Linked DNA regions of Sus scrofa. The protein of the gene in region 1 purifies or fractionates together with the protein of each later gene. This does not show direct contact. Links are inferred from orthologs where the notes say so. Each region holds a gene or a part of one and is shown in the gene's direction. Other genes may lie near its edges.

Region 1 (3,500 bases):
CATTTGGTTTTGTTGGAGAGACAGTAAGCTGAGTAGGGCAGGAGGCTGACTGCCTTGGGGCTGTTCTAACCCTGCCTCCTACTGGGCCCAGGGACCTTGCCCAGTAGGAGTTTCTTGCCCAGTCTGTCTCCGTTTCCACTAAAGTAAAATGAGGATAACACAGTTGCTGCCTCTGGATTCCTGTGAAGATTCAGTAATACTCATACTGAAAAGCAACAAGGACGCTGCCCCGTACTTGGTGGGCATTTGAAGGGCAGCCTCTGTTGAATACTATTACTGTTGTTGTGGTGGTGGTGGTTGTTATAAAGCAGTTAGCCTTGGATCCTCCTGCCCGGCTTCAAATACTGAAGGTAAATGAAGTATGTGGCTCAAGCCCTGGCCCTGCATCCCTGTTGTGGCCTCACTGCCTTCTCTGTTCCCGGTGATGCTCCCAGTGCCAGCTCTCACCCCACCTCCTCCGTGAGGGCCCCACCTGATCTCTCCAAAACCCTTCCCACCTCGTCTCACCCCATCCCCTCCAAACCCAGCTCCATGCTGGGCACACAGTAGGTATCACTCGTGACAGTGGCTGATGTCTCTGCAGCACCAGCAGAGGGCCTACACCATGTCAATTGCTTTACTAATTATCCCATTCAATTCTTAAAATGTTCTCGTAGGTTAGTGTTATTATCTCTAAATGGGAACAGCAGTCACGGAGAGGTTAAGTTGCCCTGCTGCCATGTGTCTGGTGAGGCCCCATGATAATAGGGACGGAAGGAATCCAGCAGTTGGGAGCAGACCTCTCTATCACATGCAGTGCCCTGTGACCCGCTGGCCAAATCTGGGGTTCTTCCCAGGAGCACCCTGGCCAAGCCAGGGAGGGGGCCCACCACCAGCCCATGGCAAGGGGCCAGTGTCTGTAGCAGAAACTAATGGAGCCCCATTCGACCTTACAGAAGAAGAATCAGAACTTGTATCAGGCTTTAATGTATAATACGCTTTGAGGTGAGAAAAACAGATACTTGTAGACTAGTAGAGCCTAAAGGGAAGTGCATAAAAGGTTTCCTGTAACTGTAATGAAAGTAAGTTCTTTTTTTTTTTTTTTTTTTGTCTTTTTAGGGCCACACCTGCAGCATATGGAAGTTCCCAGGCTAGAGGTCAAATTGGAGCTGAAGCTGCCAGCCTATGCCACAGCCACACCAGATCCAAACCATGTCTGTAACCTACACCATAGCTCACAGAAACGCTGGATCCTTAACCCACTGAGCAAGGCCAGGGATCAAACCCTCATCCTCATGGATGTGAGTCGGGTTTGTTACTCCTGAGCCACGGGATGGGAACTCCAGTGAGTTCATTTTAAAAATAAACATTTAAGTAAAAAATGATTGAAAGAAAAATAAGTAAATAGTAACGGGACGGGGCGGGGGAGCACATATGACAAAACCCACAAAAATAAGTAGAAGAACTGAGCTTCTTTGGTCAGTGAAAAGAATGTGGTCTTTCGGGTCAGCCAGATGTGGACTTAAAACTCTTGCCCTTTGAATCAGTTTCCTCATCTGCAAGATGGGAATAATGACACCTGCTTCAGTACTGTGAGGATTCAGTTCAACTCTGTGGGAAAACCCAAAGTTGTTGCCTCCTTCTTTCCTGTTATCTTGAAGGCAGTAGGGAGCCATTGAAGGCTATTGCGAAAGGGAGTGACTTCTGTTTCTGGGTAGAAAGGGAAAAATTCAGAGATGAGCTCAAAGTCTTCCCTTTAAGAGAGTGGAGAAGGAAGTGACATAGACAGAAAGAAGCATATGAGGCCGGGACGTATTGTGCATGGTGGGGAAGGAAGGGCCCTTGGCCTTTTTTTTTTTTAACCCATATTGAGTCTGCATGAAGGGAGAATTTGTTCCAAAGAGGAAACACAGACTAGAGATGTTTATCTGGGCGGCCTCCCTCCTAACAGTGGCCTGAGTTAGAGACACCACCTGAGCTCTGTGGGACAGTGGCAGTGTGGAGAGAGCACCAGACCCCACACCAGTTTCTGGGAAAATGCCTGTTTTAAAGGAGCAGATAAAAGGGACCCATGGGATTCCCATCGTGGCGCAGCGGAAGCAAGTCCAACTGGGATCCATGAGGTTGCGGGTTTAGTTCATGACCTCGCTCAGTGGGTTAAGGATCCGGCATTGCCATGAGCTGTGGTGTAGGCCGAAGACACGGTTCGGGAAGAACAGGGGTAGAAGAATAACCAGCTCAGAGACAGTAACAGGAGAAGATCTCTGTTCTTTTTTTTTTTTTTGGCTTTTTAGGGCCGCACCCATAGGGCATATGGAAGTTCTCAGGCTAGGGGTTGAATCGGACCCACAGCTGCCGGCCATAGCCACAGCAACTCGGGATCCGAGCCATGTCTGCGACCTGCACCACAGCTCACAGCAACACCGGATCCTTAACCCACTGAGCAGGGCCAGAAATTGAACCCTTATCTTTATGGATACTAGTCACATTTGTTTCTGCTGCACCACAACAGGAACTCTGATCTCTGTTCTTTAAAAACAGTCATTCCCTTTCTCATACCTTTGGCAAAAGCCTCTGAGTACTAAACACCATCATTTAAAACTAACCAGAAAGATTAGTATGTCATTTTGTATAATTAGCACATATTGAATCATTCAACAAGAAGTGTCGTTGGTGAAAATGATTACCATGTGCTTAATCATTTAATAAGATGTTTTAAACCATCTGCATTCAGGTGTCATAAGTGTAATTGGGGGGAGGAAACCGATCCCCCAGCGTGTGGCTGCACAGGCCCGACACGTTCCTTCTCGTCCACTGCAGCGGTCCACTCATTTGCTGATATCAAATCTGAAGACGAACTGAACCAGCTCTTCCCAGAGGCCATTTTCCCCATGTGTCCGGAGGGTGGGGACACGCTGGAGGGATCCATGGAACAGCTAAAGAAGGGCCTCGAAAGCGGGACGGTGCTGATCCAGTTTGAGGTAAGAGACCTCAGGGCTGACCCCCCAGTGCCTCTGTGGGCTGCCGGCTGCTGCCGGATCATTCAACTCACCAGCTGGCCGTGCTCATCCAGGGACCATGGAGGGGCTCGGGGCCTCAGAGAAGGCGGGGGCTGGCGACCACGGCCCGCCCCTGAACTCTGTCTCACCTGCCTGTTCTAGTAACGATCAGTAGTCATGGAGAAGCATGTCAGAAATCAAGGAGGCGGGACTCTGAGCATATTTTGCTGCCAACGCAAAGGCTCGAAGCACTCAGCAGTCAAAAGTAGTGGAGAGGCAGCGTGGGTGAGGCAGAAGGGCTGATGGAGGAGCCGGGTCCTGACCCCACCAGGCACACTTTGCAATTGCGACCACTTAGTATCCGTATCATCCCATGAGGGCACAGGGGCTCGGCTTCCCAAGTGCCCCAGAGAATCAGAACACAAGCAGAAACCAAGGTCAGGCCCCGTCTCCCTTCCCCAGGAGGGACCTCCAATCACAGCATTGAGACTGTTGACAACAGCACCCAGAGACTTTACAAAA
Region 2 (3,500 bases), on another chromosome or scaffold:
CAGGATGTTTGGTTTTCGGAGAGTGGTTTCTCTACTCACCTTCTCTTCCTGCCTCCCACCACATTATCTGCAGTTTCCATCCTTCACCCCCCGCCTCACCTGCTTTCACCCAGACATGCACACAGCCTCAAGCAGAGCCGCTAGCTTGACCTGGCAGGAACCATAGGTCTGTCTGATGTAGGTGCTAGGGACGTGATGCCAAGAGAAGCAGCCATAGGCAGCCCCCTGTGGGCCCACTCAGAAGTTTTGAGTCGGGGGAAGATGAAGGGAGGGGAGGAGAGGCCTGGGGTAGCCTCTGGGCCGAAACCAGCTGCTTCCTGCTAAAATCTCCCCTGGTCCAGACTGTTGGCCTGGCCAGAACCTGCTTTCTCCAAGTCATCGTTTTCCTGGCTGAGAATAGGAAAGCATTGCCTGCTTCTCTCCTGCAGGGGGTCCAGGGTTGAGTCATTCTGGCTGGCCTTTGCAGGCCACCCCTTCTCCCTAGTCCTTGGCAAAGTCTGGAGGTGCTCTTTCTAGGGGGCAGGGCAGGAGGAACTGGGCCCACTGGACAGAATGGGAACTCGGGTGGAATCTTCTCAGTAGTGAGGCTCCCCTGAGCTTCCTGTGGCTGCCTTTTGGAATGGCCCTCCTCTCTGCCCCAACCCCCCTCCCAGGGGAGCTCCAGCCCAACTCTGACCAGCTGCTTCCTCTCCCTAGGAGTGCCGCCTGATTTTCTCTGAGATAAGCCCACCCGTCCAGCAAAATAGAGTCCCTCAGGGTGACAGTTGATTTCCTGAAGGTGCCCCTTGGCCTGAAGAAGTCGGTGCTGAAGGAGGTGGCAGTGGGGCCCCCCAAAAGGCCCCAGCCTGTGGCCCTGGAGCGCTACAAAGCTCGGCGTTCCGACGCCATGGACACCGAGTCCCAGTACTCGGGCTATTCCTATAAGTCGGGCCACTCGCGCAGCTCCCGCAAGCACAGGTGGGTGTACGCGGAAGGCCAACGCAAGTGGCTGGGAGGGGTGGGAGTGGGTCCTCCCCTTGACCTTGAGCCCCTGTTTCCCTGGCCTCCTGCTGCAGGGACCGCCGGGACCGACACCGCTCCAAGAGCCGAGATGGGAGCCGCGGGGACAAGTCAGTGACGATCCAGGCCCCAGGGGAGCCCCTGCTGGACAACGAGTCCACGCGAGGGGATGAGCGGGTGAGCATCAGGGGCATGGGGTCTGGGCCAGGTAGTTTCCAGACTGATCCTTAGAGAAGCTGGAGCTCCATCAGAAAGGGGAAGGGCGGGGAAACCTGGCCTCTTCCGACATAGGTCAGGTCAGGGAGGCGTCTTGTGTCCTACTTCTAAGCATCCCAAGGAAGGACCCCATTTCAGTAAAATTCAGGGAGTTTCAGCAGAGATTCTTTTGGAAGCAGCAGCCTCTTCCATCTTTATCTCCAGAGAGGTGGGGTGACCCGCGCTGAGCCATGGGAATTGCCTGGTTCCCCTGGGCCCCTGCGGGCCAGTTAGGGTGCTGGGAATCTGGAGTGGGAGGGCCGTGGTGGGTGGGTGGGGCCTGGGGGTGTGGCAGCCCTGAGTTTTCCCTCGGCCTGAGGGCATGGGCACTCTAGCGCTCTCTGGTGTTGGCCTGAAGAATAGCACCTCCTTGTCTTAGAGGAGGTGTGGGAGAAGGGGCAGGGAGGCGTTAGCCTGGGGAGACGCAGAGGGTCCCCAGAAGAGAGTTCTCCCGGGCAGGGGTGACCAGGTTGCTCCAACTCTAGTCTCTCTGGCCCACTGTGTACACCTGGTAGGAAGGCCAGGAGTCTGAACCTGAGTAGGAGGAGGGCAGAGGCAGGATTTGGGATGACTCTGAGGTTGCCGGAACCTCATTCCCCTCCTATTCTTTCTTCTTGGGCGCACACTAGGAGCTGGAAACTTCACACAGCATCCCTGTGACTGACACTGGGGATTTCTGGGTTTTGGGAGCAGATTGGTGCCTGAGGGAAATGTTCTTTCTCCCTCCTTCCCAATCCCGTCTTCTCTTGGAGACCTGGCCTCCTGGGTTCTTGAAGTGACCCTGAGACATGATCAGCTCATCTCTTAGTGAGGACGAGTGCCCAGGCCCCTTATGCTTGAGAGGGTAGGCAGAGTGGCTACAGGTCACATGAGGGTTCCCTGAGCTGAGAGCAGGCAGAGCCTCTACTTTGCATCTTTAGGTCAGATTCCTCTGTCCTGGGGGAAGATTCTCCACCCCCAGTTGCTGACCCTGCCAGGCAGTCTCCTACACCCCCATCCCATGTCTCAGTCCTGCAGCCGAATCCCCTGGGTGTCAGGATGTGATTCCCCATCCCCTGGGTGTGGACACTGATGGCCACTGGTGGTCTTGGCGCTCATCTGTAGGATGGCGTCCAGCCACTTCAGGGAAGCAGCTTGAGTGGATCACACTCGGAAGGGCCCCTGGGGACCTCAGCCTGTCCACACACTTGCCTCCAGGACCAGGCAGCCCCAGTGTTGTGGGCATTCAGATGGCCCAGCAAAGCCGGCCAGGCAGATGCAGACTGGAGACCCAGAGTGACCCTGAGTCTGCGTGCCCTGCACTGGTCCCTTACCTTCCCTGTCCCTTCCTCCTGGGATCCTCTCCTCACCATGCTGCCTTTGTCAGGTCACTGTCTTAACCAGAAACTTTGAGAGGCTCTCAACGTCTGGAGGATAGGTACCTACTGCTTAGTCTGGCCTTGCAGGCGGCTTGCTTGAGCCTGCTTTGGCTGAGCAGCTCCCTGGCACCTCTCTTGTACCCTCTGCTCTGAGGGCGCACGTGCAGTTTTTTCCTATCTCGTTGATGGCGAGAAGCTCCCTGAGGGCCCAGGTCTCAGATGTCCCGTCCCTCCCTGAAGAGGTCAGGTTTGGGCAGTGGTACTCAGTAAATACCTTGATGGCTGCAGGTTCACTGATTACCTTCTTTTCTCGTCTCCCTGCTGTGCTGTCTTCTCTCCCCTCACCTTTTCTCTTGTGTCTCCTCCCCCTCTGCCTCCTCTTCTCCCCCTCCCCCGTGTCTGTGGCCCTTCCTGCTGCAGGATGACAACTGGGGGGAGACGACCACGGTCGTCACGGGCACCTCGGAGCACAGCATCTCCCACGATGACCTCACACGCATCGCCAAGGACATGGAGGACAGCGTCCCGCTGGACTGCTCCCGGCACCTGGGTGTGGCAGCGGGGGCCACGCTGGCCCTGCTCTCTTTCCTCACACCGCTGGCTTTCCTGCTGCTGCCCCCGCTGCTGTGGCGGGAGGAGCTGGAGCCATGCGGGACAGCCTGTGAGGGCCTCTTCATCTCCGTGGCTTTCAAGCTGCTCATCTTGCTGCTGGGCAGCTGGGCCCTGTTCTTCCGCCGGCCCAAGGCCTCCCTGCCTCGCGTCTTTGTGCTACGTGCGCTGCTCATGGTGCTTGTCTTCCTGCTTGTCGTCTCCTACTGGCTCTTCTACGGCGTGCGCATCTTGGACGCTCGCGAGCGCAGCTACCAAGGCGTGGTGCAGTTTGCCGTG
Region 3 (3,500 bases), on another chromosome or scaffold:
CTTAACCCACTGAGCGAGGCTAGGGATCGAATCTGCAACCTCGGGTTTGTTTCCACTGTGCTACAGTGGGAACTCCTGACATAGCTTGTTTTAATCTCTGTTATTTATAGCCTCAAACATACTGAGCTATAACATTTCTCATTAAAAACAAAATTTTTTGCATGTCAAAAAGTGAAAAAAAAGTTAAATTCTTACTCATGCTAGTGATATTTTTAATAACTTTCCTGACATCCTTTCTTCACCATGTGCTCTCGCATTTCTTAATATTTTAAGGAGTAAAGTCTTAGAGATGATAAATTTTCTATCAAAGGTCATTGCATATAGTCATCAGCAATTATTAAATGCTTCCAGAGGATGATTTCTATGTACTGAACTATCTTTTTGTTAGTTTTTTAAGAAAACGTATTAGGAGCCTATAGTTTAGTTAGAGACCAGATTTTTACTTTGAGAAATGCATCACTGTGGTTTAGTGTTGTGGGCATATTAGGTGAAAAGGCTGCCAAATATTAGTGGCTGTGACAATATCCTCTAACCGTACAGTATTTCATACTCTTGTTCCGTTTGTTTTCCTTCCTAGTGCTGTTTTGTTCCTAAGTGATGTTCTTGTTACAACAACACACTGATGCTATTTGAAGTATCAACAATTTTTGCATGATAAAGTCTGTAATTTTTAAATTTGATTCCAGCAGAAAAGCTAGAGTTGTAAAAATAACAAGCCCAGGAACCTGTTGAAAATGTTTCTTTCTCTCATTAAAATCCAGGCTTTTCGATTTAACCCCTGCCCCCAACAAAGAAAAGTAATTTTACAGATTATATTTTGTAAAATTAAATGGGAGATTAGCCCTTTATGAACCTGCTCTGAAGCTAAGCTTTTTGTTGAAAAACTGTTCAGGTTCTTAATAGTGAGAAGTGAAAGAATTTTGCCGAAAATTGGCAAGGAAGGAAACTTGGAAAAAATTTTTTTAAAGGAAGAAGAATTTTAAGTAATCTCTCCATAGGAAAAATTAAGAATCAGATATTATGTTTGCTTTCATGCATTTAGGCTTGTTTTGTTTATTTTTATTGACGGCCGGCCCTGTGTACCCAGGCTTGCCCCCCACCCCGCCCAAGGTGACACCGCAGGCCCATGGTGCTCAGGGCCCTTCTGTAAAAGGCTGTGGTACAGTCAGCCCCTGTGTCTGTAGGGTCCACATCATGGAGCACTGGCTGATTGTTTAAATAGAAACAGGAATCGAGATTTTTAAAAATGTCTTTTCGTAGGTAATATTGAAAAATAAATGTAATTCACTGCATTAAAGAAGTAGAGAGAAAATGATCATCTTGATAAACACAGAAAACCATCGGAGGAGTTGTTACTGTGGCTTAGGGGTAACAGACCCAGCTAGTACTCATGAGGATGCAGGCTGATTCCTGGCCTTGCCTAGTGGGTTAGGGATCTGGTGTTGCCATCAGCTGTGATGTAGGTCACAGATACAGCTAGGATCCTGCGTTGCTGTGGCTACGGTGTAGGCTGCCACCTGCAGCTCTCATTTGACCCCAGCCTGCGAACTTCCCTTTGCCACAGATGCAGCCCTAAAAAGCAAAAAAAAACAAAAACCAAAATAAAAAAAAAAAGCCCAAAACAAAACAGTTCACACTTTTATGATATAAAAAAAAAATTCTATCTCAGTGAAGGTTCATATTCTGTTCATATGTTTCTCGCTTAATAGGGATAGGACTTCCTCCTTTATTTTCTCATCTTGGATTTCCCTGGAACTGATTGTTCTTAATCTTTTTCTTTTTTTAATTGTCTCAACTATTTTTGAAGAAGGTTGGGATAAATGATTCAATCAAGTACAGTTTTGTTAACCCTCTGTAACCTCAGCACATTGACTGAAACAAAAAAGTTTCCTCATTTGTCAAATGTCAGTAATTGTTCTTGGTCAGATTCTTTTATCTTTTATGAAAATTGACGCTTGGAAAAAATGAAGAATCTATTACGCCACCTACCATTTCGATATATTTAGACATGTCTTTAATGTTATACCTTGTTGAGGTTTTAGGTTTTTAAATTTTGTACATAAAGGTTAAATGACTTAAGATCTTTCCTAGTGTGATGCCTTCTTGCTTGCTTTCTGCCTTTTTAGTTTCTGGACTTCCCTTTTAAAGAATTGCTCAATTCTTATCAAAGGTTTTAATTTGATTTAAATTACTTGCTTTTTTCAGTTATAATAAGAGCTTTTTCTTCAGATTCAAAGAAGCAAGGCTTGAGTTTCATTGCTCTTGACTTTGACGCCTTTAAATCTGTTGTATATGTTCGGCTGTAACTTGGCCAATGAGCAGTTTCAAAAACCTGACTTGTGTTATTTGTTCCCCATAGTTTACAAACTGTACAAAATCTTTTGCAGAATCTGTGAGATCCAAGCTGTTGACTGTACCACAATATCCTCATTTACAGTGAGAGAATGTGAGGGGTCCAGCAGGATGGGTTCAAGGCCAAGGCGCTACTTGTTCACAGGCCACACGAACGGCAGCATTCAGATGTGGGATCTGACCACCGCGATGGACATGGTTAACAAAAGCGAGGACAAGGGTAGGTTCCAGAGGGCAAGGTGTTTACCGCAGGGTGGTGTTGACCGAAGTGACTCTGATGCTGTCCCTTCCCCACAGATGTCGGTGGTCCGACGGAGGAAGAGCTGCTCAAGTTACTGGATCAGTGCGACCTGAGCACATCTCGCTGTGCCACTCCCAACATCAGTCCGGCAACTTCTGTCGTTCAGCATAGCCGTCTCCGCGAATCAAATTCTAGGTGGGTTAAAGAGGGGAAGGACATTTTAAATTCATACTTTATGTTGCCATTCACGTTTTTAAAATTTTTACCAAATTTTCATCTCTATGCCTATTTGGTTCTTTTTATACAAAAACATTTTTTGCCCTTTATGTTAATTTGTGAATTGCTGCCAATTCGAATGCCTATTTTGTGATCAAGAATTCATGGAAAGGAAATTAGAAAAATCATGTCACCTTAGTCTGTGCGTCTTTCATTTCCATTGCTTCAGGGACGTATTTAATCAACATGATTAGACAAGATAATGTAACGTTAGGCATTGTGTACTTTTTTTTTCTTTTTTTGCTATTTCTTTGGGCCGCTCCCGAGGCATATGGAGGTTCCCAGGCTAGGGGTCGAATCGGAGCTGTAGCCACCGGCCTACGCCAGAGCCACAGCAACTTGGGATCCGAGCCGCATCTGCAACCTACACCACAGCTCACGGCAACGCTGGATCGTTAACCCACTGAGCAAGGGCAGGGACCGAACCCACAACCTCATGGTTCCTAGTCGGATTCGTTAACCACTGTGCCACGACGGGAACTCCATTGTGTACTTTTAATACAATGACATGGTGTATCTTTTTAGTTAACTGTATTTTAAAAAATACCAAAATCTGAAATAAGGATCAAATACTGACACTCTTTTTGTTCTGTATTGGATAAAAAGGTTATTTTTTCCCCAAGCTTTTTTT
Region 4 (4,078 bases), on another chromosome or scaffold:
TCCAATCGGAGCTGTAGCTGCCGGCCTATGCCAGAGCCACAGCAACTCGGGATCCGAGCCGCGTCTGCGACCTACACCACAGATCACTCCAATGCCGGATCCTTAACCCACTGGGCAAGGTCAGGGATGGAACCCGAAACCTCATGGTTCCTAGTCGGATTCCTTAACCACTGAGCCACGACGGGAACTCCTACTTGGGCAGCCTTTGAGAACCTTATAACCAACTGTGATAAAAGGAACTCGTCTTTCTCCGCATTCCATCTGAAAATTTTCCTAGCATTCTTATTTTTTTTGTTAATGGTACCATTTAGTCTCTTAGTGACTAGGTAGGGAAGATAGAAGGTCAATTTAATCCCCCCCCCCCACATCTGATTAACTACAAACTCTTCGTAGTTTCTCTCTTAGCACTATCTCCATTTGTCCTTTCCTATTTTCATTGTGGTCATATTACCTTTTGCCTGTATTATTGTAATAGCCTGATCATTTATTCTGCTCTTTAATCACTGCTATACAATAATCTTTTTAGAGAATAACGATGGTGTCATCCACCATGAAAAATCATCAAAAAATAATTTCCTTGTGGCCACTGAATAAGGCGCAAACTTCCCAGCATGCCATCCAAGCTTCTTCATAACTTGGTTCCAACCTTTTAATACACATTTACCGCAGACACTACCAAACAGCTTATATTCTAATTACCTGAACTTCAGTCTTGCAACACATACTGTACGAATACAAGATGTTAGGAATCCACTGGGAAGCCAAACATCAGGTCGTTTCCCTTTCCTGCCTCCTGATCGCAATGTGATCTTGCTCCTACTCTCCTGCACCTTAGGTGCTCCAGACCAGGATCCCCTAACAACTTCCCTGTACCGATCCATGGTGGGCCCAAGGGGAAAAAGAAGGCTTAAGGAGAAGTAAAGAAAGATTGCGAAGTAAGAAGCTGAAGTGTGAAGTCCTCGTTCCGCATTTGGCTACAGAAGAGCCCAACTCTTTACCCTGGGGTTAAAAGGGTCTGAGTAAGATCCAGGACTGCCTTTACCATTACCAAAATCGTTACTGCCGCTAGTTTCTCTGCCCGTAGTCCAGCTCTTTCGTTCACTCTCTCGCCTGGCTTCCCTCACTTCCTTGGGGAGCTTTCCCACTATGCAGTCGCAGTTCCCGCTTCCAACCGCCCCTAAGCCCACGGAGGAGGGGCGTCTAGTAGGTTCCAGCCTCTTCGGGCGCTGAGCTCCCAGACCCGCCCCCCCGCGCCAGTTGCCAGGGAGCGGTTGCCATAGAGCTGAGCAGTTGTCCGCGTGCGCAGGCGGAAGTCCCGGATTGAGGCGCCGCCATTTTTGCTGCCCGGTCGCGGAGCGAGAGGCTGAGAGAGTCGGAGACGCTATCCGCTTCCATCCGTCGCGCAGACCCTGCCGGAGCCGCTGCCGCAATGGATGATCGGGAGGATCTGGTGTACCAGGCGAAGCTGGCCGAGCAGGCTGAGCGATATGACGGTGAGTTGGGGGGGGAACGGGGGGCTGGAATTCTAGGACCCTCTGCCGCCGCCCACAGAGACCAGGACCAGGAGACAAAATGGCGGCATCGTCTCCTAGCCTGGCCCGGGGAGGTGGATTTGGGAAGCAGGCAATGGCCTGTAGGCTTTCAGAGCCGCAGGAGGCTCCAGACTCAGGATTTTGACTCCTTCGGCGTTCTCAGCTGCAGACACTCGGGAGCCAGGAGGCCGGGGCGTTAGGGTGGAGGAGTTGGTTGTAAAATGGCGGCTGGGGGGGAGGGCGAGTCCCGGGGCGGGGGAGGGGGAGGAGATGGCGGGTGCTGTCTCCCAGCGAGCAATCCCCAGGGGAGCCTCGGGGCAGTTCTTGGGACGTGGTGAACAATTGGGTGGCGTGACGAGGGAAGAAACACCCGCCACATGGGGGAGAGTGGCGACCGGGAGCGCGGGCGCCTTTCAGGGAAATATGGCGGGTGGGGGCGGTGGCTTTTCCCCAGAGGCCCAATGTGGGGCGGCGGCTGTGTAGTCTCACAAAGGAGAACCCTTGCGAGCGGAGGGCTCCTTTGGGTTTGGGGTGGGGGGCAGTCTCGGATGAGGGTGGGGAGAGCGAGGGGAGAGTGGGAATCACTGCAGTTCATCCTTGGGCGGAGGCCAGCCGAGATGCTACGTTCGGATTTCCTTCCCGTAGACCAGCACACCTTGTAGTGGGGTTTTTTAGGCTTTCCGTTCAACCTCGCCTTGTTCTGGGGAGGTCTAGAAAAATCTCTCTCACGCTCCCTTTCCTCAAACTTAACCTGCAGAGTTCGAAGTTCCTGGTAATCATTTTCTGGCTTCATAAGCTGTGGGTTCTGGTGGATAGATAGAACATTGAACAGGAAACAAGGAGATGATGAATTTTAGTTCCTCTCCTATTCCCGTGCCTCAATCTATCAGTATTTAAAAATGACGACTTTCCTGTTTACACGCGGCATTACGACAAATGGAAAGACCTGTTGGAAAATCAAGTTTTTTCAAATAACGTTTAGTAACTGTATTTTAGTTGCCTTCCTTGGCTTGGAATGCGTGATCGTACTTAACCTATCCCAAAGCACTCAGCAGAGATTTGGGTTTTTGAATTAAGACCGTAAGGAATCCCAGTAGATCTTATTTTCTTTTCTCCGTTTTAAGTAAATGGTTTCATGCACAGATTTGAGCAGTTCTTTGTTCCTTGCTCCTTTTCCCCTAAAGGCTCTGTAGTCATTTTTCAGAACTTCTTCGAAATGGCCACTGTGTCTTTTTAGTCGGTTCTAGGCTGCTTTTTTTATTGCCCCTCTCGTTGTGGGTCTCCTGCCCCCGCCCATTTTGGATCTAGGTATGTGAATTACTCCCACATCTTTTAAACTGGCATTATCATAACAAAAAATCCTATGTATGTTTTTTGTGGTTTTTATACTTTTGTGGCGTAAGACGGGGTTGGAATCAAGTGTCAATGAATAGATTTTTCTTCATGAAGCCACTTTTTTCCCCAAAATGTCGTGTGGAGACCTTGCTTTCCTTGAATGCCTGTTTGGTCATGTGAATAGTCTCAGGGCTGGTCCTGGCGTATCTTCATTAGGAGTCAGGAATTTGAAAATTACTAGAAAAGACCTCGAACTCAAATTTAGGAAGGTTACTACTTCTATTTTGTAAATCCTTCAATTGCTATTTGTATTGAACAAGATTCCTGTGGAAAGGGGGAGGGGAAAAGATGGGGAAGTACAGCTCAAGGTCAGTTTTGTCTTTATTTCACTGTTGAAAAGCGAACTAATGTAGGTGTGCTTGGAATGGAAGTTTTTCTCTTCTCCCCCCCTCCTGTCCCAAATAGGTTCCTCTCTTAATACACCAATGCCCTTAGGGAGGAAACTTGAAATTATATCGGAATGCTTTCTGTTCTTTAGGGATTTATAGGCTCTGGCTGTGATCACCAAAGAGGACGTGGAGGGAGCTTTTTTTTTTTTTTTTAAGAACTTGTTTTAAAAAGTGGTTTGGAAGTTCATGATTGTAGCTTTCACGTAAGTGACAGTTTAGTGATAATAATGTATTGGTTTTGAGTGTTTGAGGATTTTTGACCAAAGGCCTTATTATTTAGCACAGGATCCGTATTCTTAAGGTTGTTTAAACGTTAGGAGTGTCCTTCAGAATCTAAAGGGAGGTAGGGAATATAGGATCTACCAGTTTGGAGAGAATGTCCGTGACTGTTGGGTACAAGACAGAGAGGGATTCATTGGAAAGGGAGAAGAGGAAGACACTCCTTAGGAATCAGCCTCTACCTGTGACCACTCCTTTATTGGATATAATAATTCAGTTTTGTTTCTGGTGACAAAAAGTGATTTTATAGTTGTAGTTAGCAAATAATTTATCAGGCATGGGGAAAGTGAAGAGTGCATTTGAATGACTTGGCTTGGTGTAGTTGGATATAAATGTTGGCTTTTCTTCTTGTTCCTGTAGTACCTTTGTCTTTTATTTTGCATGTTATGTTGAATCTATTAAACTTTTTTAGTAGCATCATTGAACTCTGACCTGGGGAATTGGAATCAATTGATATGGATTATTTAATGGTACTGGAGGATG
Region 5 (4,133 bases), on another chromosome or scaffold:
CAGCGCCCACCACGTCGTCCACAGACGAGGGCAACCCCAAGCGGGAGGCAGGGGAGCGCAGAGCCAGTGGGCGCCGGAAGTGACTTCCCACCCCCAGGGCCTGACACACCTCCCCGCCCCTCCTCCTGGCACTGTGGGCACAAAGACACTTTCTCTTCCGATGGGGCAGGAGCCCCTAGTCCCAACCAACACTGAGGATGCGCCATGATGGGCACTGGAAAGGAGGGGTCTTCTCCTGCACCCCAAGAAGTGGTGGGGGGATTGCTGCCCCTATTAGCCATATTTCGGCCCCTTCCCGCTCGCCACCCCCACCCCAGGTGCTGGGGCTCCTTTATTTTTATGCAATAACTGAGCTTGGGGGGTGGGGCGGGTAAGGGGCCGGTTGAGCCAAGCCCCCTGCCCCGATGCCCATATCCTGCCCCAAGAAGCTGGGTTGGTGGGGGCGATAATTTCCGCGCCCCTCTCCGCCCTAGGGATGGGCATGGGGGCGCTGGTGAGGTCCCCTGGACCATCCAGGGTGCTAGGGGTGGGGAGGGGACGCCCCCTCCCCGCCTTTACCTCACTTCCAATGCTGCCTTGATCTCTGTCTGGGGAGGGGGAGAGAAGGGGCCCTAGCCCCTGCCCTCCGCCGTCTCAGAGCCATGCGATTAATTCCTGACTTAGTTTATTTTTGCAAAACGTCGACCTCCTCCTCTCCCGCCCCGCATCCGCGAAGGCTTTTAATGGGAGGGGCGTCAAAGCTCAAAACTGTCTTCCTCTCTCCTCCCCCCTCTATCTGTAAATGTCACTTTGTGAGGGGAGGGGCGAGGGGAAGCCCTCCCCCTGCATGCTTCTGGCTGGAGCACCTCCCGGAGGAGTGGGGGAACCAGATGGTAGGCAGCCCCCAGGGCCGCTGGGGCTCAGGGGTAAGGGGTGGGGCGGCAGGCGCACACTCGATGTACCTATAATAAATTCTTTGGCTTTGACGGTCTATGACGGTTTGTTCAAGTTTCTTGGGCGGCGCCTGGGAGGATTGGGTGGGGCGAGGCCAGGAAACTGTGTTGCGGAGAACATTTAGATGTCCCTCTTGGTATGGACTAATTTCGAGGTCTAAACACGTGCCCCCGAAGAAGCAGCTAGATGCCATTCCTAAGTTGGGAACCCCAGAGGGGTGGAGGTACGTTTTGCTATTCACGGTAACTAAACTTCCCCAAAGGAGCCTCTCGGTCCGCCCCGTCCAGCACAGGAAAAGCGGGCCCCTTTAAGGAGGAGGAGAACATTAACTGCGACAAGTGAGCGCATTGCCCAATCGCGGGTGGCTCCAGGAGTCTCCGGCCCAATGAGCACGCGGTGGAGGCGGGGGTGGGGTGCACACCCGGAAGCGGGTGCTGGCCGGCCGGCTCGCCCGAGGGCCATGGAAGCCGCGGCCCTTGCAGCCGACGGGGTCCCTAGTCGGGGGCCTCCCGGCGAGGTGATTCATCTGAACGTGGGAGGCAAGAGGTGAGTGTAGGAGATTCTCGAGACCCTACTCTCGGCGGTGTGGAGCGAGGTGGGAGTACCCGTCTCTCCCGAGGGGAATCCCTGTCCATCAAGGATTGCTCCGCCCTCTGCTGGAGGCGCGGGAGCCTGATGGGTGCTGGAGGAGCGAAGGGAACTCACCCGGTCCTGGGATTAGGGCCTCATTCGCCATCCTCTCTCCATCATCTCGCGTCCTCTCACGGTCCCCGCACAGATTCAGCACCTCTCGCCAGACTCTCACCTGGATCCCAGACTCCTTCTTCTCCAGGTGATTGGGAGAGCGAGTTTGGGGTGGGGGGTGGGAGGACAGGGTACGGGGAGACCTAATCTCCCCCCATGATACACACACCGCGGCCCATGACACCCGCTTATCATCCCCCCACCCCCTTGCAGTCTTCTGAGCGGACGTATCTCTACACTGAAAGATGAGACTGGCGCCGTGAGTAGAGCAAGAATTGAAAGGGGCGGCCGGTAGGAGGAGGGACAGGATCCCCACTTAGCCTTGCTCTTTGCCCCATCTGTCTTCTTCCCCGCAGATCTTCATCGACAGGGACCCCACCGTCTTCGCCCCCATCCTCAATTTCCTGCGCACCAAAGAGCTGGACCCCAGGTTGGCATGGAAGATAGCGGGGAATCCCGCACCGTCTTTACCCCCTGAGAAGTCTCATCTTCTCCTCAGAATGTTCACTTAAGCACCTTGATCATATTTAAATTATATGACCTTAGAATTCCCCTCAAACACACACATTTTCACTGCCCAAATCATCTCTCCTTAGAATCTTGATCCCATCAAAATTTGCTACCTCTTAGGGTTCTCTGTACAGTTTTTAAAACTCCATCCTCAGAATTCTTTGCCCACTCCCACTCCCCAGAGCCTGACCCCTAGTCGCTTCTATTACCCAGGGGTGTCCATGGTTCCAGCCTCCTCCACGAAGCCCAGTTCTATGGGCTCACTCCTCTGGGTAAGTGGGGCCCCCTTAGCATCCTCTTCTAATAGAAAACCAGCTCTCTGGTGGTGCTCCCTCTTTCCCCTCTTGAAAGAAGGTTGGGTTAGAGATGAGAGCACTGGATTTAATCCTGGGTCTCAGAAGAGTGGTGGTATTCTGTGGAGAAAGAAATGGAGGAGGGGAAAAGGGATCTGTCTCAGTGTTCCCCAAGTCCCAGCCTTTAGGTCCTTTTGTCCCAGTTCGTCGTCTGCAGCTTCTGGAAGAGTTGGATCGATCTTCTTGTGGAAACGTCCTCTTCAATGGTTACCTGCCTGCACCAGGTGGGAACTACTAAGGAATGGAGAGAGTGGCTAGGGCTCTAAAGACTACATCTCCCACAAGGCTGCAGCCTGTGGGCACCTGAGCTGTGAACCCTGAAACACTCTGGGAGTTGTAGTTCTTTTTTTTTTTTTTTTTTTTTTGTCTTTTTTCTATTTCTTTGGGCTGCTCCCACGGCATATGGAGGTTCCCAGGCTAGGGGTCGAATCGGAGCTGTAGCCACTGGCCTACGCCAGAGCCACAGCAATGCAGGATCCGAGCCGCGTCTGCAACCTACACCACAGCTCACGGCAACGCCAGATCCTTAACCCACTGAGTAAGGGCAGGGACCGAACCCACAACCTCATGGTTCCTAGTCGGATTCGTTAACCACTGCGCCACGATAGGAACTCCTGGGATTTGTAGTTCTAAATCAGATGCTTGGCCTGATGCTGGGAAAGGAAGTAGGAAACAGCATTTCCAGTGAGACACTGGGCCAAGCTACCCCCTGGAGGTGCCGAAGCAGGCCCTAGAGCCTGATGGGAGTTATAGTCCAGGTGTGATTTCCTTGTAGAGAGGCTTAGGGAACACTGGTGTCCTTTGTATGAAGGAGTGAAATATTTAAGGAGAGTTATTGACTATAATCTCCGTGAGACCTTGGAGCAGCCAGTCCACTGGCCATGGAAAATATGCCCCACTGGTTATTGGGAAGTGTAGTCCACTAGGCTTTGCTGATTTGTAGAAGGAACAAAGCAGGGAAAATTATCTGCCTAACTGTTATTTCCCTAACTTGGTCAGTACCTACTACCTTCATGAAGTTTGCCACATATGAAGACCTATCGTCCTCTTAACTTAGTTTGACCCTGGTTTTTTTGTTTGTTTGGGTTTTTTTCACCCTGAGGTGCAGCAGCTTGATGTGGGATCTCAGTTCCCAGACCGGGGATTGAACCCAAGCTGCAGCAGTGAAACCACTAGACCACAAGGGAACTCCTGACTCTGTTTTTGTTTTGTTTTGTTTTGTTTTAATTATTTACATAGAAATTTTCTATCACTATCTTTACACTACAAATAAGTAGACATGAAATAAACCCCAAACATAGCAGTGAGATTAAATTCTGGGAGTTCCCGTCATGGCGCAGTGGTTAACGAATCCGACTAGGAACCATGAGGTTGCAGGTTCGATCCCTGCCCTTGCTCAGTGGGTTAACGATCCGACGTTGCCGTGAGCTGTGGTGTAGGTTGCAGACGCGGCTTGGATCCTGCGTTGCTGTGGCTCTGGCGTAGGCCGGTGGCTACAGCTCCGATTCAACCCCTAGCCTGGGAACCTCCATATGCCACGGGAGTGGCCCAAGAAATAGCAAAAAGACCAAAAAAAAAAAAAAAAAATTCTGG
Region 6 (3,500 bases), on another chromosome or scaffold:
CACACCAGCATCCCCTCCAAGACTTCTTTCTAAACCATCAAATGAAATTTCACTTGATGAGCCCAACTGCTTGGGCCTTCAGAGGGAATCTTGCTCCAGTGGTTCCCAAAGGTTAGCCTGCAAAAGCATCACCCGGAGGGCTTGTTAAAACACAGATTTCAGGTCAGGTTCCGGCCCCACCCACAGAGGTTACTTATTTTTCAGTGGGTCTAGAGTGGGGCCCACCCAAGAATTTGCATTTCTTAGAAATTCCCCACTGATGATGAAGCTGCTGGCCCTGGGCCCACACTCTGAGCGAGCCCGTCCTATATCCCCAGGCTCTTGCTGGTTTCCAGGATCTGAGCACATTAGCCAAAGTGGACAAAGACGGTTTTCATCCTGTGTGCTGGGCCCCTGCCTTCCTCCTTCCCAAGGGCTGCTGGTGTGGGCGGCCGGCTGGGGGAGATACAGCTCCAGGTCTTTGTCAGGCTGCTTCCGCACCAGCGGCCACCCCTCAGTGCACGCAGAGCCTTATGCAGCCAGAGTTTGAGGGACCCTAAAACTCTTTTCCTCTAACCCTTCATTGTACAGATGAAAAGGACGAAGTGAGTCTCCCAAATTAGTGGCAGAATTGAGAGCGGTCCCCTCCTCGTTCTAGGGCTCCTTCTTCCTCCCCTGAAGCCCCCATCCCCTGCAGTGCATTTGCCTTTGCCCTCCTCTCCGTTCCTGCCAGCCCCCCCCCACAACCCCCGCCATCTGGAGTGGCAGCTGAGGACGGGGAGCCGTGGGTGCGCTGGTGGCGGACTGGGGCACAGCAGGCGGGCAGACGTCATCCCGGTTCTGTCTGCCTCTGTCCTCGAGCCCCGCCCCACGGTCCCGATGCCCTTGTTTCGGCCCCTCCAGGCTGGTGGTCGCGGTGGAGGAGGCCTTCATCCACATCCAGCGTCTCCAGGCCGAGGAGCAGCAGAAAGCCCCAGGGGAGGTGATGGACCCCAGGGAGGCCGCGCAGGCCATCTTCCCCTCCATGGCCCGGGCTCTGCAGAAGTACCTGCGCACCACCCGGCAGCAGCACTACCACAGCATGGAGAGCATCCTGCAGCACCTGGCCTTCTGCATCACCAACAGCATGACCCCCAAGGTGCGGCTGGTCACCGAGCTCGGGGAGTCCCACTTCAGGGGTGGTCAGGAGTGCGAACATCAGAGGCTTCTCTCAAGCGCCAATGAATAAGAATGAGGGATTCTCACTTATTTTGTGCGGTTTTGGCACAGTTGCTTTTTTAAGTTGCCTTTGGAGGCCTCTGGATTCAAGCAGAGGAAAGACTTTCACTTAGAGATGGTCCAGGTGGCAGCTCGGGGTACGCTGGTTTCTCGTTTCTGGTTGACTCATTCTAACCTGGCTTTCTGTTCCTTTCTGCCAGTGGGAAACCTTGGGCCAGGAGCTTAATGGCTCTGTGCCTCGGTTTCCTAACCTGTAAATTGGGGATAATACTAGTATCTACTTCATTGGGTTGTTGTGATAACTAAGAGGCACACAGTTTTAAGCCCGTTCTTGTGCAGGGCTTAAAACTGCATCTGTCCTAGTGGAAGGACCAAAGAAATAGCTTTGATTATCAGCGGTAGAAACAAGGCCATCACTTGGGCGTTTTGGGGCTGTTGTGGGTTTAGTTTTACTAAATGGTCTTTTGGATTATGACGTGAGCACACCGCGGGGGATGTGGCAAACAGCAATGCATCTACTAGACGGATGTGGCCAAGGAGGCAGCACAGAGTAAGGGTTCAGCAAATGACCGCTCTTCAGATAGAAGTGGGTTCACCTCCAGGCTCCACCACCGAATTGCTTTGTGACTTAGCCTTAAGTTTACACTTGTTTCCTCTTTTATAAAATGAGGATAATGATAGTATCTACTTGATAGGATTGTTGTGTGGGAATTATAGTAAAAATGGCAGCATGACAGGTCAGTCACATGGTAGAGCGTAAATGACCTTGACATTTCGTACACATGTGCACTTGGTAGTGTTACTGTTGGTATAAGGACCTGTGTTCAGACACTGCCCTGAATGTACACAACTGCTGATGACATTGTCGCTAACCAGTAATGACACTTAGGAAAACAACATGGGTTTTCACACTCCTTGACTTACTAGCCCCTCTCCTGGAAAAAGTATTCAGCACAGTCAGCTCATATATATGAATATACATGCAGGTGAGTTTTTGCAAAATAGTCTGTATTCACTCAAAACTGGAAATAACTTAAAAATAGAACAGTAGCTTATAAATTCTGGTACATCACTTATTAAAACACAGAAGACTCTTTGTTGCTATAATAATAAGTTACAAAATGCAGAATACAAATAAGTGTGAACGCTGTGGTTGCAAGTGAGCCCAGTAAGTCTGGGTGTACAGAGTGATAGCTCGTGCCACACAGAATGGAAGTGGTTATTTTCCTTTTTTTCAAGGTTTTTAAAAAGGTTTCCTGAGGGCTTTCTTTTTCACTGAAAAAGAGTATACTTTTCTGAATAAAAAATAATATTTGCATGAAAATGTTAACATTAAAGAAAAGTATAATGGGAGTTCCCTTCGTGGCTCAGCAGTTAACGAACCTGACTAGTATCCATGAGGATGCAGGTTTGATCCCTGGCCTTGCTCAGTGGGTTAAGGATCCGACGTTGCAGTGAGCTGTGGTGTAGGTTGCAGATGTGGCTCGGATCCCGCATTGCTGTGGCTGTGATGTAGGCCTGCAGCTGTAGCTCCAATTTGACCCCTAGCCTGGGAACTTCCATATGCCACGGGTGTGGCCCTCAAAAGCAAAAAAAGCCAAAAAAAAAAAAAAAAAAAAAAAGCAAGAAAGAAAAGTATAAGGTACAAAGTGAAGTTTTGATTCCCCTAATCCAGACAGTTCTTACTGATATAAAGACTGGGTGTATATTCTTTCCGGGTGGGTGTGTGTTTTCAAAACAGAAATAGGAAAAAAACAAAAACCAAAAAACAGAAATGGGATCTCAAACTATATAGATAAAGTATGGATACTAGGTTTTTTCACTTAAAGCTGCTCTTGGCTGTCTGTCCATGTCAGGCCTTCACACAGCTCTAACTCTTTCTCTCCAATAGCTGCATCCTAGCCCACTGAATACCGGGGTTTGTTTAACAGACTGCCTACTGATGCACTTCTGGAGTAAGATCGTTCTTTAGTCTGAATGAGGGCTTGGCTCTTTTTGCTAATCGAGCTTTCCTGGAACACAGCCACACCCTTTATTTACAGATTGTCGACAGCTGCTGTCTCTCTACCAGGACAGACTTGAGTCGTTGTGACAGTGCGTGCCTTGCAAAGCCAAAAATATTTACGTTTAGAGAAAAGTTTGCCAACCCCTGGCCTAAACAGAGTTGCAGTAAATCCCTTTTTTACATGTGTTTTTGTGTATGTAGGCAATTATTTCAGAAGGATGCATTTCTGGTAGAGGAACAGCTGGATCAAAGGCACAGATCCTGCCAAATTGTCCTGCTAAGTGGTGTCACTCTTTCA

Evidence for each region.
Region 2: the proteins of PTPN3 (region 1) and VANGL2 purify together in Homo sapiens (affinity purification with mass spectrometry; 3 studies listed by BioGRID and IntAct, with this or other methods). This does not show direct contact. The link is inferred for Sus scrofa from reciprocal best matches to the Homo sapiens genes PTPN3 and VANGL2.
Region 3: the proteins of PTPN3 (region 1) and KCTD3 purify together in Homo sapiens (affinity purification with mass spectrometry; 4 studies listed by BioGRID and IntAct, with this or other methods). This does not show direct contact. The link is inferred for Sus scrofa from reciprocal best matches to the Homo sapiens genes PTPN3 and KCTD3.
Region 4: the proteins of PTPN3 (region 1) and YWHAE purify together in Homo sapiens (affinity purification with mass spectrometry; 5 studies listed by BioGRID and IntAct, with this or other methods). This does not show direct contact. The link is inferred for Sus scrofa from reciprocal best matches to the Homo sapiens genes PTPN3 and YWHAE.
Region 5: the proteins of PTPN3 (region 1) and SHKBP1 purify together in Homo sapiens (affinity purification with mass spectrometry; 4 studies listed by BioGRID and IntAct, with this or other methods). This does not show direct contact. The link is inferred for Sus scrofa from reciprocal best matches to the Homo sapiens genes PTPN3 and SHKBP1.
Region 6: the proteins of PTPN3 (region 1) and VANGL1 purify together in Homo sapiens (affinity purification with mass spectrometry; 4 studies listed by BioGRID and IntAct, with this or other methods). This does not show direct contact. The link is inferred for Sus scrofa from reciprocal best matches to the Homo sapiens genes PTPN3 and VANGL1.

The regions. Positions count from the first base shown.
Region 1 is NC_010443.5:250,446,388-250,449,887, reverse strand, and holds part of PTPN3 (tyrosine-protein phosphatase non-receptor type 3), read left to right. Parts: intron 1-2,799; coding exon 2,800-2,960; intron 2,961-3,500.
Region 2 is NC_010446.5:90,060,202-90,063,701, reverse strand, and holds part of VANGL2 (vang-like protein 2), read left to right. Parts: intron 1-696; 5' UTR 697-886; coding exon 887-957; intron 958-1,055; coding exon 1,056-1,176; intron 1,177-3,032; coding exon 3,033-3,500. UniProt on the Homo sapiens protein: Involved in the control of early morphogenesis and patterning of both axial midline structures and the development of neural plate. Plays a role in the regulation of planar cell polarity, particularly in the orientation of stereociliary bundles in the cochlea.
Region 3 is NC_010452.4:5,809,680-5,813,179, forward strand, and holds part of KCTD3 (BTB/POZ domain-containing protein KCTD3), read left to right. Parts: intron 1-2,387; coding exon 2,388-2,572; intron 2,573-2,649; coding exon 2,650-2,788; intron 2,789-3,500. UniProt on the Homo sapiens protein: Accessory subunit of potassium/sodium hyperpolarization-activated cyclic nucleotide-gated channel 3 (HCN3) up-regulating its cell-surface expression and current density without affecting its voltage dependence and kinetics.
Region 4 is NC_010454.4:47,642,528-47,646,605, reverse strand, and holds the start of YWHAE (14-3-3 protein epsilon), read left to right. Parts: upstream 1-1,278; 5' UTR 1,279-1,429; coding exon 1,430-1,493; intron 1,494-4,078. UniProt on the Homo sapiens protein: Adapter protein implicated in the regulation of a large spectrum of both general and specialized signaling pathways. Binds to a large number of partners, usually by recognition of a phosphoserine or phosphothreonine motif.
Region 5 is NC_010448.4:48,811,830-48,815,962, forward strand, and holds the start of SHKBP1 (SH3KBP1-binding protein 1), read left to right. Parts: upstream 1-1,333; 5' UTR 1,334-1,393; coding exon 1,394-1,479; intron 1,480-1,711; coding exon 1,712-1,765; intron 1,766-1,890; coding exon 1,891-1,936; intron 1,937-2,033; coding exon 2,034-2,107; intron 2,108-2,400; coding exon 2,401-2,459; intron 2,460-2,683; coding exon 2,684-2,764; intron 2,765-4,133. Other genes in the region: SPTBN4 (spectrin beta chain, non-erythrocytic 4), read left to right, coding at 1-83.
Region 6 is NC_010446.5:105,000,354-105,003,853, reverse strand, and holds part of VANGL1 (vang-like protein 1), read left to right. Parts: intron 1-882; coding exon 883-1,117; intron 1,118-3,500.